Mus musculus: one gene and its partners. The protein of the gene in region 3 purifies or fractionates together with the protein of the main gene of each other region. This does not show direct contact. Links are inferred from orthologs where the notes say so. Each region holds a gene or a part of one and is shown on either strand. Other genes may lie near its edges.

Region 1 (4,859 bases), about 11 Mb from region 3:
AATCACAGTATACTGTGCAAGGGGAGAATTACTGACACGTACCATCAGTTTGTGTACCGGGTGACAGCATTACCAATGTTAAATTGCTCTTTGTTTACTATGATTATGGCATTGATTCCATCAGTAGCAGTTCTATATGAATGTTCTTTTTTTCCCTGTTTGTGTGATGCTGTGGTGTTAGCCTTACCCTCCTTACCCTGCAGCATGATGCTACTTTACTAAAAATTTCAATTTGTCTTCAGTGAACTGAATAGGTAGAGTAAAATGCACACAGTAATGATATTAAGGTTTTATGGGCCTGAGAGATGGCTCAGAAGTTAAGGGCACTGGTTGTTCTTCCAGAGGTCCGAAGTTCAACTCCCAGCAACCATATCTGCTGCTCACAACCATCTACACTGGGATCTGATGCCCTCTTCTGGCATGCAGGTGTACATACAGATACAGCACTCATAGACACTAAAACATAAATCTTAAAACTTTTTTTTAGCTTTTTATTATAAATTGTAGTTGACGATATTAAACACCCTTTTCTTGGTTTTTATTCTAATGTGAAGGGTACGTTGTCATAGTCATTGTTTGTTGATTTTACAGGTCTTCTGGCTAAAAAGGCTGTTGAAATTGGTCTACGAGTTAAACCTTATATACGAACAAGTTTGTCTCCAGGCAGTGGGATGGTTACACATTACCTCAGTTCAAGTGGAGTGCTACCCTATCTTAGCAAGCTAGGGTGAGTGACACTTCTGTTATTTATACCTAGACTGGTATTCAGCAGTTAATAAATATATTTGTTAGGAATCAAAGAGAGGTAAAAAAGGAAAAATACCACTTAAAAGGGTGGATGGCCCCCTCAGAGTTGGTAAAAGACACACCCAGACACCAAGTTCTCAGCAAAAAGGAAATTTTATACCCAGAGGGGCTAGCAGATAGGGGAGGGTACAAAGTCAGACAGCACAGCAGCAAGAAGCAAGCAAGTGTTTTGGTTTTTTTGTTTGTTTGTTTTGTTTTTTTTGCAGGAGTGGATTTTTAAGGAGAAAAGGGGGAAATCTGTGCTCGGATGAGTTGGTGAATCTTGATAGCCAGATAATGAATTTTGATTGTTGGATCTTGGTGTTTAAATCTCAGGAATGAGTCAGTGACAAATAAGGGAATCAACCTTGGGAACAAGCTTTAGCAATACAGTTTAATGGTGTTTATTTTAGCAAGGGGAGAAGGAAAGATGAAAGAAAAAACCTGTCAGCGCCATGCTTGCCGTGCTCGGGCATGCCAGAGCCCTTCACTTGTTCCCTTGCCATCCACATAGTCTGGTGCCTAAGAAGCAGGTGGTGGTTGGGAATAGCAGAGGCACTTGGAGGTCAAGCACATGGTCTGTAGCCCTCAGGACAGGGCTGTTACTGTTAAGAGTGGGGTGAGGAAAATCTAATTCTCATGAGTCATGTTCAGTTCAGAAAAGAGTAAAGGAATAATACAAGTTGGATTAATTTAATTGAACACATCTTTAATCCCAGCACTTGGGAGACCGAGGCAGGGGGATATCTGAATGTGTGACCAGCCTAGTGTACAGAGGTAGTTCGAGGTCAGACAGGGCTACAGGGAAATCTTGTATTGGGGAGCAGTGGGGGGAATTGAACAGATTGTCTTGATTTAGGTTTTGCAAAGTTATTGGGTCTGCAATGTGAGGTTAATTTATCTATGAAGCTTAAGAGAAACAACTTCTAAATTTCTTTCATATTTAAGTGATAACAGTATAATTTTAGAAAATAATATTTTTACATAAATTATCCTTTTTTAAGGCCTCATAAATTTTAGATTTTTTTTTTTTTAATTTTGCTTTTAGAGCAGCAGCTAAAGTAATTTAGAGGCTTATGTTTGTAATCTTACTTTGGAATTACTGTCAGGGATTCTTGTTAGGTGTAGTTTATTCAGAGTTGAATAATTTATTTCCACTAGTAAATTGGGACCTTTGATGACTGTTATAGTGAGGTCATCCTTATGTTTTATAGTTTGAAATATGCCTTTCGAGTGGAAACACATGATTTTTTGTTTGTTTGTTGTTGTTGATTTTGGTTTTTTGAGACAGTGTTTCTCTGTGTAGCCCTGGCTATCCTGGAACTCACTCTGTAGACCAGGCTGGCCTCGAACTCAGAAATCCACCTGGACACATGATTTTTTTAAAAGGGGTTTTATTAGTTCTAGTTAGAGCAGAGGAGCTTTCTGATACTGTTAAAGTTCTTTTGATCTAGTACAGATAGTGTGGCTATGTGGCCTCTTCTGAGATTTATAATCAGTTCAAAGAACATGCTACCAGTGAGACTTTAATGTTTAAAACTGTGAGATTCATGTGTTGATGGTTAATTCTTACGAAGCAAGCAATCTTACTGTGATAAGGGAAATAAAGAGAGAAGATGCTCACAACCATCTAGAAGGGAAATGCAGAGAGAAGACTTGTCCTTTCTTTACATACTGTCCAGTCATGCTTCACTTTTTAAATGCAGGTTTGACATAGTTGGCTATGGATGTTCAACATGTGTAGGAAATACAGCACCTTTATCAGAAGCAGTTTTGAATGCAGTAAAACAGGTAAAAATGTAGATTAGCACATCTAAGTGCATTTTTATTGTTTATTTTTAATAAGGATGCTTCAATATTTACTTAAGCATCAGAGTTGATTAATAGATGCTAGTTTAAAAACTCAGACACACTTATGAATGCAATTGTGAGCCTCTTTGAGAGTTGCCCCAGCTTGTTTCAGCTATATCATGTTAGTAAATTATAAACAGTGTGTATATTGATATTTATACTGGAAACTCTCAGGAAACGTAACTTGTGGATCTTAAAATAATGCAAAGAATTACTTGTATATTTTAAAACTAATTCCTTAGTAATATAAGGAACTATTAAAGTATAAGAATTGTAGTTCTATACTTAAAATTAAAACTTAGTAAAAATTTTTGTTGTTGTTGTCTGGATCTCACCTAAAATTAGTTGAGACAAATTTTATAATTGTGTGAGTATATATAAGCTCTTGAATCAAGTATATTTGTTTTCCCCCCTTAGGGTGATTTGGTTACCTGTGGAGTTTTATCTGGAAACAAACATTTCGAAGGCCGTCTCTGTGATTGTGTCCGTGCCAATTATCTCGCCTCTCCGCCCTTAGTGGTGGCTTATGCCATAGCAGGCACAGTGAATATAGACTTCCAGACAGAGCCTTTAGGTGTGTTTTCTATATATTATCTGTATGTTTATATGCATACTTATGTGCACTGTCTCCAGAAGTTGTTAAAACCATACTCTTGATATGAAAGAAAACATGCAATACTTGTTTACTTTCTTAAAACATCTATTTTTCTGCTCTTAGTGTCTGTTGATATGAAGAATGTAATATGTATATGTAATTGATTTGCAATATTTAAACCTGAAACACACCCCATTGTTAAATCAGTTACTTGATTTCTGTGACTTTTCTTTGAAAAGATAGAAATGCTTTGAGGTGTTGGTTTTTGGTGGTGGTTGTTGTAATATGTGTACTGAATACCATGTTACAATTTTGATCAGGTACTGACTCTACGGGCAAGGAAATTTACCTGCATGACATTTGGCCTAGTCGAGAAGAAGTTCATCAGATGGAGGAAGAACATGTTATATTGTCAATGTTTAAAACACTAAAAGAGAAAGTAGAGGTAAGAGTCTTGTGGGGCTTTGTTTTTAGTTTGTTCTTTAATTTGAAGCAAGGTCTCACATAGCTCATACTGACTGAGACCTCACTCCTTGTAGCCCACGCTGTCCTATGAACTCAGCAATCCAGTCCTCAGTTCTGGGGTTTCAGGCATGATCCATGTGTCTTGCTTTCTAGACAGAATAAAAATTTTAATTTTGAGTATATAATTTTTATGGCTGAGTTTTTTTTTTTTTTAAAGCCTCTGTGTGTGTGTGTGTGTGTGTGTGTGTGTGTGTGTGTGTGTAAAACCTGTTAAAAACATTGGTGGTGGTATAGGCCTTTAATCCCATCACTCAAGACAAAAGCCTCGGCCACACAGTGAGACCCTTGGGGGGGGCGGGGCGGAGGTGTTCTTGATGACATTTTCATGTTTGTTCTCTGTACTCCTTTATTGCTCTTGCTCTCTCCTGTCCCCACTATTTCCTGCTGGTCTCCTCCTTTTCCCAAACAGTATCCCTTCTATAGTCACATGTGTGTATGTTCCTGCAGACATTTACAAATCTTTGTATGTGAATGATGTGTGTGTTTCTGTGTATGAATGTGGGCCTGTGTATACCATGGCATGTGTGGATGTCAGATAATAGCCTCAGGTATTAGTCCTTATCTTTCACCATATTGGAGAAAAGATCTTGTCTTGCCACTGCCTCTGCTAGCCTAGCTGATAGACAAACCTCGAAGGATTCTCTTGTCTCTACCTCCTGTTTTATCCATAAGACTGATTTGCAACCTTATATCCTGCTTACATGACTTCTGGGGGCTCAAACTCAGAAACACTGTGTCAAGTGATTTGTACCCATTAATCCTTCTGCCTACTCATAGTTCTGCCTTCTCTTTTATATATAACTTTAAATATGGGCAATATAACTCTCTTCTGTCCGGTGAGCTTCTCAGCCAGAATGTCATGCATTTGGCATATATGTTTTATTTTGAAATCTAGATTCCACATAAGAGAAGAAAATACAATATCTGTACTTCTGAATCTGACTTATTTTAACATAATGGTCTCTAGTTTTATTTTCTTGGTTTTTGGCTTTTTGGTTTTTGGAGACAGGGTTTCTCTGTGTAGACCTGGCTGTTCTGGAACTCACTTTGTAGACCAGGCTGGCCTTGAACTCAGAAACCTGCCTGCCTCTGCCTCCCAGGT
Region 2 (4,859 bases), on a different chromosome or scaffold from region 3:
TCCATTGCCAGTTGGGTGGGAGAGGGGGAAGGGGGGGGGACGGAAGTAGCCTTCCTGAAGTTTGGGGTCAGTTAGAAAGGGAATCTCTGGGGAGTCAGAATGAGGCTTCTGCTGACTTCAGCTGGCTGGGCCTGGGGGTTGCCCTGCTGTGCCGTAACCTCCCCGTGGCCGTTGGTTCTTCTGTGCTTTGCAGGAGAGGGATGACGAGGATATTCCTACTGTGCCTTCGACGCTGGGCGAGGAGCTCATGTACAACCCTTTCCTGAGGGTGACGTGAGTACATCTGTGTCCTGGGTCTTCCTGTGGTGGGGCCTGGGCCCTATCAGTGGGTAGGGCAACCTCACGAGGCTGTGTGCACTGCCAGTGACAAGTCTCCCCATGGAGCAGTCTCAGGACTAGCCTGGCCTCCTCAGGGCCTCTTTGGCAGTCATTTGAGTAGTTAGGAGGGTATCTAGGGACTATTTATTGAGCTGAATGTCCCTGGCACCAGAGAAGGTCATTTATTAAGGGCCCTCCTTCCATCCACCGCCCTGCTGGGCCCCACCCCCATGGGCAGCTGGCCAGCCCCACAATTCCCCAGCATATTCTTCCCTGCAGAGAGGATGCAGTCCGTGCGTTCACAGGCCAGGTGGCCCCAGCCCAGGTCCTGGAGGCCCTCTGCAGGGAGCGAGCGCGCTTCCAGCCTGCTGTGGAGCCACCACAGCCGCAGGTTCGGGCACTCCTGGCCTTACAGTGGGGGCTTCTGAGCACACACCAGAAAAAGTGAACTATGTGGGGAACCGGCTTGTCCCCACACTCCCCCAGGGACCCCTGCCACCCTGCTTTGAAGAACCAGCAAGTGGTGTCTTGTCTCTACTGCTCATGGAGCCCTATAAGTGGGATCTGTAGGAGCTCTTGTGGGTCCAGAGACATATCCTGGGGACTGAGGAGGGTGAATAAAACTTTGAAAGGCCCAGTGTGGTACCAGACACACAGTGGATCCTTCCAGAGGTGCAGGTCTGTTTATTAGTGGTGAGACCCAGCTATGGAGTTCTCATAGGCATAAAGGCTTGGTACTGACAGACTGCCCAGAGCCCAAGGTCCTGAGAACAGTTTTTAGAAGCCTGGGTGCCTCAGTAGGTACCTGCCCTATGTGTTACAGCTTTGGGGATTAGCCATAGAAATGAAACCCCTCACACTCAGACAACTACAGCCAGAGGGCAGGGCTCACAAGATGTCCATGGCCCCAGGCCAGTGGAAGAGTCTGGAACCTCAGTGAACCTACTTGGCTACTTCTGATCCTGCCTGCACTTTATGTGGGCTGCAGGCAACATTACCAGCCAGAGACATGGGTCACGCATCTCCAAGGACCCACGTGCAGCCAGTGCCCCACTGGAGCACAGAGTCCAACACATCCTTGGAGCTCTCCTTGAATTGAGGGTCTCGGGCGTATCCTGTGGGCTTTGTTTCAGATACCCACACAGTCTAGTCTTTCCGTGAGTCTTGGTGCTGGCCCCGGGGGTCTCACAGACTCAAGGCCTCCTACCACCTGATGCTCAGGCCTGAGCTGGGCTTCTCCACGGCATGGTATTGTGTGTGCAGCAGGCGGCTGGCCCGCTCTGAGTCCTCTCCTTGCAGCCAGTGCTGGTACAGCTCCTGGACCCCCGGTGCATCTTCGGGCGCCTCAGTCCTCACCATGCTGTACAGTCTTTCCAGCTGCTGAAGGAGCTCGCTGCCCTCTGTATCCGGAGCCTTGAGCTGGCCCCCTCCATTCAAGCAACCTGTGGTGGGGCAGGGGCATGGTTGACAGGATGTCAGGGTTAGCCCTCTGACCCCCTGGGTGTGGAGAGGGGGACATGCCCTCTTCCTGTCCTACCCCTTCCACCTCCCACTGGTGGAAAGGTGCTGTATTATCCCAGCAAGCAGAGCCTGCGGTACTAGGAGGAGCTACCTGAAGGGCAGGCCATTACTTCCACGTAATGGTAGGGACAGCGGCCTCGTTTCAACTTCTGCACGAGGTTCTGGATATTACGGAAACCATAGGCCACAGCAAAGCGCAACAGTACCTGGCCTTCCCTTTCCAGTGTCACTTCCTGGAAGTCCTTGTTCCTAAAAGTATAGGAGTAGGCTTGAGAAAACACACATTGCCATGAGAACCTGTCCCTGCCCAGGGTCAGAAGCCTTCTGGGGTTCAGTGCAGTACCAGCTGGCTCTGTCTTTTCCTGCTCGCACCGAGGGAGGGGTGATGGAGAAGTGGGGTATAGCTTGTATCCATGGCCCGACCAGATAAACTCATCCCTACCTTGATCTTAACATGGGGTTAAAGGGCAAGCACGAAGCCCAGCAAAGGTGAGAAACCCCAGGCCCAGATGCTCCGGGGGCTTCCCCCAAATTCACTTTAGTGCCTGCCCTGCTGACCTCAAGGGTTGATAGGTGACTTCAGCCACGTGGATTCCAAAGAGCTCTTGGGCTGCGTGCCGGAACACATGCTCCAGGTAGCCTCCTGAGCCTCCGCCCCGATGGCTGCTGGGCTCCTCAGCAGACACACTACTGGTTCTGGGAGAGGGGCGGGTCAGTGCAGGAGGCGCAACACAACTGAGGTCTCTTGTAGTCAGACATTAAGAACTATTCTTATGGCAGCCCCGGGAAGCTTAGGTGGCTTCTAGAGCAGGTTCTGCTTTGACACTGTACACTCAGCCACTCTTGGGCCCCAGCCAGGCTCTGGGGAGGCTTGGAGTCGCCCAGAAGGCAGCCTGGATAGAAAGGAGGGGACAAGACACTGCCCCACCCCACAGACAGCATCTGATCCCAAGTAAGGTTTCTCAGTCCCCACCACCAACTCACAAGCCATCCAGGGGCGCAGGCTCCAGCTCCGTGAGGGAGACTCCTTCTTCCTCCAGCAGCCTGAAGACTTCTCCTGCAGAGGAAGCACACAGCACATGCTCTCATTGATCTGAGATGGCTGTGCTGTCCACATCCCCGAGGGACACTTACTCCAGCTGGTGGTGGGACAGTGAGTCCGGCCAGCCCCTGTAGACCCACGGGAAGGCATTCCAGCCTGGAGCACTGTAAAAGGAGTCAGGGCAGGCTGGACTCCCTGATTTCTGTTCCTGACTTGTGAGTGGGAGGCAGGCTACTCCACTTAGAAGTAGGGTGAAGTTATGATCCACAGGGACTAGATGAGATCTTGCCTGCCCTCAGGACTCATTTCTGAACCAGCAAGGATGCGATCCTGGGGCTCCATTGGCCACAGGATCTTGGGAGGCGCTCACAGAAGCCCCAGCTGTGTCTGACTCCAGTGCTTGGCTCCAAGGGAGCCTCGTAGATAAGAGGGAAGAGGGTTATGCATGGTAGCTGCACCTGTTGTAAGGACACAGTCCACATCACGGGTCTGGTACTCCTGGTTGAAGAAGTCAGGTCTGGATGCTTCTAGCTTTTTATCATAGCAGGGCATCACTGTTACATGGTAGATCTTGTCAGGAGTCAGAAGCTACAGACAGAGTATAGAAAGCTTTAGTCTCATTGGAGCTAAGCTGAGAAGTGTGCGATGTGAGGCAGAGGTGACTTAAGTAGTTACTCATGCCCACTGGCCACCAAATGACCAGGGCCACGCATCGTCTCTCCCACCTCTGTTGATAACAGGCAGCTGCAGCCCAGGAGATTAAGTTCTCACTGCCTTTGAGAGAAGGTCAAGTCACAGTGGAGACAACACGGACTTGAGGGAAGTGTGGCCGTGCACACGCGGAGGGAATGCACGGGGCCGATGCCAGTGCTTGCGGCTGCAGCACTATACAAGCCAGCTCTCTTCCTCATCCTGTCAGTGCGGTGACTTTAGGCTAGAACCAGTGAATCACTGGAAATGACCTCAAGAGAGGTCTGATTTGTTCACCCAACAGCCTGTGGGGTGCTTCATGCCCTTGGTCTCCTGCTTCTTAAACATGGAGTCTAAGCCATTTCTGGGTGTGACAAGTATTTTTCTATAAGACCCGGGCCCCTTGGTGCTTGACAAAAGACAGCCCAGGTAGTAACAGGCTACCTGAACAAGACGGATACTCAGGCCGACATCCACTGGCGGTCACCCAGACACCCCCCAGAAGGGACCATGGTCACAGACAAGGCATCAGTGGTCAGCCAGCAGGCCATCTCTCACATATTGCCTGGGGATGCCCGGTCCTGTTACCTGCTGTTGTGCGAAGAAGTCTTTGACCAGGGAGCCCATAACCTGCTGTGGGGACCGGGCTGTACTGATGTAGGGGAGGATGAAGTTGCCATGTGTCTTCTCAGCATAGCAGATCCAGCCTGAGCCAAAAAGAACGAACAGGTTTGGGGTGAGCATAGGGCAGGTCTGGGGGTGGTTCGCAAACAGCTGCTCCTCTTGGCAGTAACATGACATTCTGGGGGTGGAGCGAGTCACAAAAAAAAAAAAAAAAGAAAGAAAAAGAAAGAAAGAAAGAAAAGAAAAAAAAAGAAAAGACTGTGGCATTAAAACACCCATCCTGTCATCACTGTCATGGGAAGGCTGGTATCCAGATGCTACCAACAGGAGCCAGTGATTCCAGGCAATGTCTCAGGCCTCAGGTACCTCCTAGGTGCCAACATTCCTACCCTTCCCTGAAGACAAGCCCTCCCCGTCATTTTCACCTTCCACGTCAAGCTGTCCACATCATGACCTCCCTAACTTCAATTAAACAACCATGCAGCCATGGACACACCTGGGCAGGCGGAAGCCAGCACAGGCAAGGCCTCTCTGGAGTTGGCTTGCTCTCGGAAGCGCTGCACAAACTCTTTTTGGCTTTCCAAAAGGCTGAAGTTCCTCGCGAAGGCAGTATCAAAGACAAAGTGGACCCCTGGAAAGTGATGGAAGGTGTCAGCGCCAAAGG
Region 3 (6,218 bases):
ATTTATTTATATATGATTATTATATACAATTTATTATACATATAATTTATTTAATGTGTATAAATGTTTTACCTGCATGTATGTATGTGTACCATGTATGTGCCAATTGAAGTCAAAAGAAGAACTAAAGTTATAGATGATTGGGAGCCACCATGTGGACGCTGGGAATTGAACTCAGGTCCTCTGCAAGAGCAACCACACTTAACCACTGAGCCATCTCCTCAGCCCCAAAACTCCATTTTAACAAAAAGTGGGAACAACTCAAATGTCTAAAAACTGGTAAGAAAGCAAAATTAAACAAGGTCTCTCCATTTAATTGGATATTATTATATGACACTACCTAAGAATAAAACACACACTTTAAAACATCAACACTAAAAACATAGTAAGTCAAGGAATCCACACACTGTCTAATTTCATTAAAATGAAATATCCCAAATTATGGAGACTGGAAATAGATGGTTGTTCTGTACAGAGAAGCAGAGAAGAGCATGCTGTAAGCACAGAGAGACTACTTATTAGCAAATCAGGGCTGCCCCCTCCTTCCCTCTCTCTCTCTCTCTCTCTCTCTCTCTCTCTCCCTCTCTCTCTCTCTCTCTCTCTCTCCATTTTTGATACAGGATCTGGCTGTGTAGCCCAGGCTACCATCCTCTCTTAACCTCCCAAGTGGTGGCGTTACTCATGTCTTACCGTACTTGACTGCATGCAGGATGCAGGGGATGCAAGTGTTCAACAGTGATTCAGAGATGGCTGCAGAACCCTGCAGGAGTTATCAGAGACTACTCAGCTATCTACTTCAGGTGGCTTATATGATGTGTGAATTACACCTTAATAGGTGTCACAAGTCAAGCTGGAGCAGGGACGGGGCTCTGCGGCAGGTATGTGAGGCTCACGTGAGGCCCTGGGTGTGAGGCGGAAGCAAGCTTCTTACCTTGTGTTTGAACGGCAGACACCGCTGAAGCTTTACTCTTAGGCACAGCCCTATGATGGGGGAAAAATCTTCATTATCTTTGTATCCCTTCTTACTGGCTCTAGAAAAACCATAAAGTTCAAACTGCATCCACCCAGTGTGGGTCTCCTGTGACCTTGGCACCATGAGGAAATAGAGTTTCATGCCTGCCCCAGTAAATCCAGGGAACTGGGTCATTCTATACATGGTGAACCAAGGTCACAGTGTAAGGTGACTGTTGGTGGTAGTACCACAGCAGAGCTGGCACTGACCAGAACAAAGGAGCACCACAAAGGCCAGGCCTTTTCTGCTGGGCCAGCTGGCACTCAGGCATAATGGACGGACCCTTAAGCTTTACAAAATACCAGAAGACAGGCATGGTGGCGCACACCTTTAATCCAAGCACTCTGAGGCAGAGGCCAGCGGATCTCTATGAGTTTGAGGCCAGCTTGGTCTAGGACAGCCAGAGCTACAAAAGGAAACCCTGTCTTTAACCCTACCCCCCAAAATAAGCCACTGGTAAGCCAAGCCAGGCAAAAAATTAAAACAAAGTATATTTAAAACCACTTATTTAACTGCCGTCGGGATGACTTAGCAGGTCTCTGTTGGCACATGGTACCCAGACATACATGCAGATAAAACAACCCATACACAAAAAACTTAATTAAAAATGTAAGAAGCATTCATACAGACACACATTTACCAATAAAAACTAGAATTCCCATGCACCCATGTACACACACATGCACACACACACACACACAACCCTTACCAATAAGAGTTGCCAAAGAGCAATGAGGTACTGTTGGTGTGAACTTGATAATAACCAAATAGTCATCTTCATTTATTTCTTGAACTTCCACACAACTCTCTGTGACCACTTCCAGTTCTTCTAAAGTATTGGGCTTTTCTGGGTCCCGGATAGTTCGAATCAAATCTAGAAGCATCAGAGACAAGGTATTAAATTAAAATGTGAATATTCTAAGTGAGGATGAGGATTCTTATCTCAATTGAAGCACGGACTAGTTTCAAATGTGTATGTTTTGCCTCCATACATATCTGTGTATTCTGTGTATGTAGTGCCCACAGAAGCCAGACCAGGGCCTCAAGATCCCTGGAATGACAGCTGTGAGTGGCCATGTGCATAAGAAACTGAACACAGGTCCTCTGCAAGAACAGCCAATGCGGAGCCATCTCTTCAGGCCCAACCACCCCGCCCTAACTTTCTTTTTTCTTTTTTTTTCTTTTGTTTTTTCGAGACAGGGTTTCTCTGTATAGCCCTGGCTGTCCTGGAACTCACTCTGTAGACCAGGCTAGCCTCAAACTCAGAAATCTGCCTGCCTCTGCCTCCCGAGCGCTGAGATTAAAGGCGTGCGCCACCACTACCCGTCCTCCTAATTTTCTTTTAATCAAATATTTCAGCAACTCCCAAGTATCTGACAGAAATTTCTACTAATAGAAAACAATTTTCTTAGATCATTATTCGTCCATATCCAAGTCTTAATTCAAAACCATGGGAACTGTGAATGGGGAGAATGTGAAGGGAGCCCTAGAGGAGTCTTGGTTGGAGAGAAGGTGGGATTAAGCCTTTGAAAATGAACAGCATCCCCTTAAGACAGAAGGAAAGAACCATCAGGGGCTTCCTTGGCTTGTTTCCAGCAAAGGAAAGAGCAGAGAAGAAGGGTGGGGCCCAACCACCAGGGTATTTCACAACTAGCCACAGGCAATAGGGATTCCTCAGGAGATTTAGAATAAGGAAGTAGGAAGGGCAGTGGGGTACAGTCAACTGCTAATTTACTCACACTAGCTGCAAGAACCAGAACCAAAGAGAAGAGCTAGAGACGGCCACTGAGAAGCTCGGCTTAAAATCAGCAGATGACAACAGGGACAGAGACAGGACAAGCAACTAAGTTCCTTGTTTCACAGGAACTAACATGTGGCAACTCTCTGCATCCAGAAGACAAGCATACAGAGAGGAGGGAGAGGACTCAGATTTATTTATTTATTTATTTATTTATTTATTTGGTTTTTTTGAGACAGGGTTTCTCTGTGTAGTCCTGGCTGTAACTAAGTTCCTTGTTTCACAGGAACTAACATGTGGCAACTCTCTGCATCCAGAAGACAAGCATACAGAGAGGAGGGAGAGGACTCAGATTTATTTATTTATTTATTTATTTATTTATTTATTTGGTTTTTTTGAGACAGGGTTTCTCTGTGTAGTCCTGGCTGTCCTGGAACTCACTCTGTAGACCAGGCTGACCTAGAACTCAGAAATCCACCTGCCTCTGCCTCCCAAGTGCTGGGATTAAAGGCGTGGGCCACCACCGCCCGGCTGATGACTCAGATTTTAAGCTCAAGTATTTGGAAGAACAGTATTAAGATTAAAAGGGGGTGGGGATAGAGGCTGGCTGGGGAAGACACCGTGCTTTAGCCAAGCCTGAAGACATGAGTTCCATCTCTCAGACCCACATGGTAGACAGACTCATAGAAAATTAGCTCAGTTTCATATGCAGTGTTTGTGGAGGTGCTTCAAACAATGAAATGTTCTAGCAAAGTTGAACAGTTGTATAGTGCACACCAAGTGCACACCAAGGCTAGAGTGGTTATTGAACTCACAGAATCCATCAAGAAGTACTTGGCTCACCGGGCGTGGTGGTGCACGTCTTTAATCCCAGCGCTTGGGAGGCAGAGGCAGGTGAATTTCTGAGTTCGAGGTCAGCCTGGTCTACAGAGTGAGTTCCAGGACAGCCAAGGTTACACAGAGAAACCCTGTCTCAAAAAAAAAAAAAAAAAAAGCACTTGGCTGGATATTTGGATATTGCAGTTACCATGAATGCCTTGAAACAAAAAAAAAAAACATTGTCTGGGCCCTATCCTAGGCAGTCTAACTTAGCTGGTTAAAGCATGGCCCGAACAGCTAGACTTCTTAAAACTCCTCAGATTATTTTCTTAAAACTTTGTTGTTGTTGTTGTTATCTTTATGTTAAGAATGTTTGTCTACATGTGCCTGGTGCCTACAGACATCTGAAAAAGGCTTCAGATTCCCTGGAACTGGAAGTTAGGATAGTTGTGAGCCACCAAGTTGGTGCCAGGAATCGAACCCTGGACCTCTGCAACAGCAGCAAATGCTCTTAACTGTTGAGCACTCTCAGGTTATTCTTATAGGCAGCCTAGTTTGAGGCTCCTTGGTATAGAGGGAAGGAAATCCACAAATGGATCCTTGAAAAGTTGGCTGTGGTGGCACAGGGCTATAATCCTGGCACTTGGGGGGCTGAAGGATGAAAATCTTCACTTCTGGGCCATTCTAGGCTACACACTGAGTCCCTATCTCAAAATGGAAAAGCAAAGAAGAACAGAGAAGGGAAAGGAGAAGTGTTTAACCATAGCAAAGGCTACAGAACAACACAAGTGAGAGAATTTGAACTCAAGGCTATCCCGGGCTACATAGTAAGACTCTCAAAAAGAAAAAAAGGCCAGCATGAAAAGCAAAGCAAAAAGAATCAGAAAAGGAAAGCCAGAGGTGGCCAACATTAAACACTACAGGACAACTCAGGCTAAAGTGGTCTTGGATTTGTTATTCAACAAGTCACTTATAAGAAAGCAGTTCGGTAGAGAGGTGCAAAGTGGGGAGCCAACAGATCAGAGAATGCACCCCAAAAGCCTTGGCAGGAGGGTGGAGCAGAGGCTTTAGAATCTTGACAAAGCTTAGGGACATTTGAGTACGGTTTTTAGTTCAAATGGAAGGTTGACAGAAGGGAAATCACACTGTGAATGGAGCTGGGTGAAAGGAAGCAGAAGACAAGGGGATTAAGAAGGCTGGACCTCAAGGAGGTCGGTGGCAAGGACACGAGGTTGTCCTGCCTCAAGCTCACAGAGGAAAATAAAATAGAATAAAAAGGAGAGTGATAAAGGGAGGGCAGGGGAGAGAAGCAGGATTTCAGGTGAGTGGGTCTGGTGTTCTCAGGAGCCTGGGGTCTGTTCTACTACTCATACCTTACCCAGAGACCTAAAAAGCAGCCAGGAAAATAAATCCATCAAACTTTCCTTCCCTAGACTGTCTTCTGGCCTTACCAATAAAATAGGACATTTGAAAATGCAGATAGGAGCTGGGCATGGTGGCGCACGCCTTTAATCCTAGCACTCGAGAGGCAGAGGCAGGCAGATTTCTGAGTTCAAGGCCAGCCTGGTCTACAGAGTGAGTTCCAGGACAGCCAGGGCTACAAAGAGAAACACTGTCTCGAAAAACCAAAAAACTCTGTCTCAAAAAACTAAAAAAAAAGAAAAGAAAAAGAAAATGCAGATAGGAAAGAGGATAAACTTCCCCTTCATGTAGCAGGTTATTACCGGATTGGAAAAGCAGGGTTTCCCCCCTCCTCTCCTCGGCTTCTCCTTCTAAGCTTCATTTGTAAAAGCTGTATTATAGTCTTTGAACACTACTAAATCCTGAAATTAAACCTCACCTCTTACCCCTTACTGAACACCTCTAGCTTTCTAGTGATTTGAGAAGTTTGATTTTTTTAAAAAGATATCAAGCTTGTTCTCACATTACTCTCCTAATTTCCTCTCACCCACAACTAAGTTTTTGTTGCTCTGTATTGACATGAAGGTCTGCTCTTCCAGAGGACTTAAAATCAGTTCTCAGCACCCACAACTGGCAATACACAACCTCCTGTAACTCCAGCTTCAGGGAGACCCAACACTTCTGGCCTCCATGGACACACACAGACTTAAAATTAAAAACAAACAAACAAACAAACCTCTTTTTTAATACTTAAAAAGATGATTCATTTATATTTAAAAGTTTCAATGGGTGGTGGTGGTGGTTGCGAGATGATTCAGTGGGAAAAGGGGCCTGCCACCAAATAAGCCTAACCTCCTGGGTTTCCATCCCCAGGAGCCACTTGCTGGAAGGAGAAATCTAACGCCAGCAAGTTGTCCTCTGACTTCCATATTTGCACTATGACTTGCATGTGTATGTGCAAACATGCACAAAGTAACTAAATGTAATAAAAGTGATTTGAAACTTCAGTATTCAATTCCAGTCTACAGTCTAAAGAAACAGCCTACCACACCTCCACCTGCAGTCACCATCAGGTGCCTCCTTCTGGATAGCCAATTCTGTCTTCTCATCTCCATATTTTACTCTAGTTTCTTCAGCGTATGCGACCTCTGACATATCCAAACTACTCTTCAAGACCTACCCAAGTAACTGTCTAACATCATCACAGATGTTTCTAGTCAATTTCTCTTTCCTCTGCGTCTCCATACC

The links. The genes of interacting proteins can lie anywhere in the genome.
Region 1: the proteins of Ciao2a (region 3) and Ireb2 purify together in Homo sapiens (affinity purification with mass spectrometry; 3 studies listed by BioGRID and IntAct, with this or other methods). This does not show direct contact. The link is inferred for Mus musculus from reciprocal best matches to the Homo sapiens genes CIAO2A and IREB2.
Region 2: the proteins of Ciao2a (region 3) and Ciao3 purify together in Homo sapiens (affinity purification with mass spectrometry; 4 studies listed by BioGRID and IntAct, with this or other methods). This does not show direct contact. The link is inferred for Mus musculus from reciprocal best matches to the Homo sapiens genes CIAO2A and CIAO3.

What each region holds. Positions count from the first base shown.
Region 1 is NC_000075.6:54,896,896-54,901,754, forward strand, and holds part of Ireb2 (iron-responsive element-binding protein 2), read left to right. Parts: intron 1-591; coding exon 592-727; intron 728-2,492; coding exon 2,493-2,577; intron 2,578-3,054; coding exon 3,055-3,211; intron 3,212-3,552; coding exon 3,553-3,677; intron 3,678-4,859. UniProt on the Homo sapiens protein: RNA-binding protein that binds to iron-responsive elements (IRES), which are stem-loop structures found in the 5'-UTR of ferritin, and delta aminolevulinic acid synthase mRNAs, and in the 3'-UTR of transferrin receptor mRNA.
Region 2 is NC_000083.6:25,778,917-25,783,775, reverse strand, and holds the end of Ciao3 (cytosolic iron-sulfur assembly component 3), read right to left. Parts: intron 4,827-4,859; coding exon 4,692-4,826; intron 4,279-4,691; coding exon 4,160-4,278; intron 3,934-4,159; exon of another isoform or gene 3,662-3,933; coding exon of another isoform or gene 3,622-3,661; intron 3,470-3,621; coding exon 3,340-3,469; intron 2,969-3,339; exon of another isoform or gene 2,897-2,968; coding exon 2,824-2,896; intron 2,536-2,823; coding exon 2,398-2,535; intron 2,089-2,397; coding exon 1,931-2,088; intron 1,761-1,930; coding exon 1,522-1,760; 3' UTR 767-1,521; coding exon of another isoform or gene 598-766; 3' UTR 444-597; downstream 1-443. Other genes in the region: Haghl (hydroxyacylglutathione hydrolase-like protein), read left to right, coding at 194-273, 598-766.
Region 3 is NC_000075.6:66,128,195-66,134,412, reverse strand, and holds part of Ciao2a (cytosolic iron-sulfur assembly component 2A isoform 1 precursor), read right to left. Parts: intron 1,887-6,218; coding exon 1,722-1,886; intron 982-1,721; coding exon 932-981; intron 761-931; coding exon of another isoform or gene 691-760; intron 1-690. UniProt on the Homo sapiens protein: Component of the cytosolic iron-sulfur protein assembly (CIA) complex, a multiprotein complex that mediates the incorporation of iron-sulfur cluster into extramitochondrial Fe/S proteins.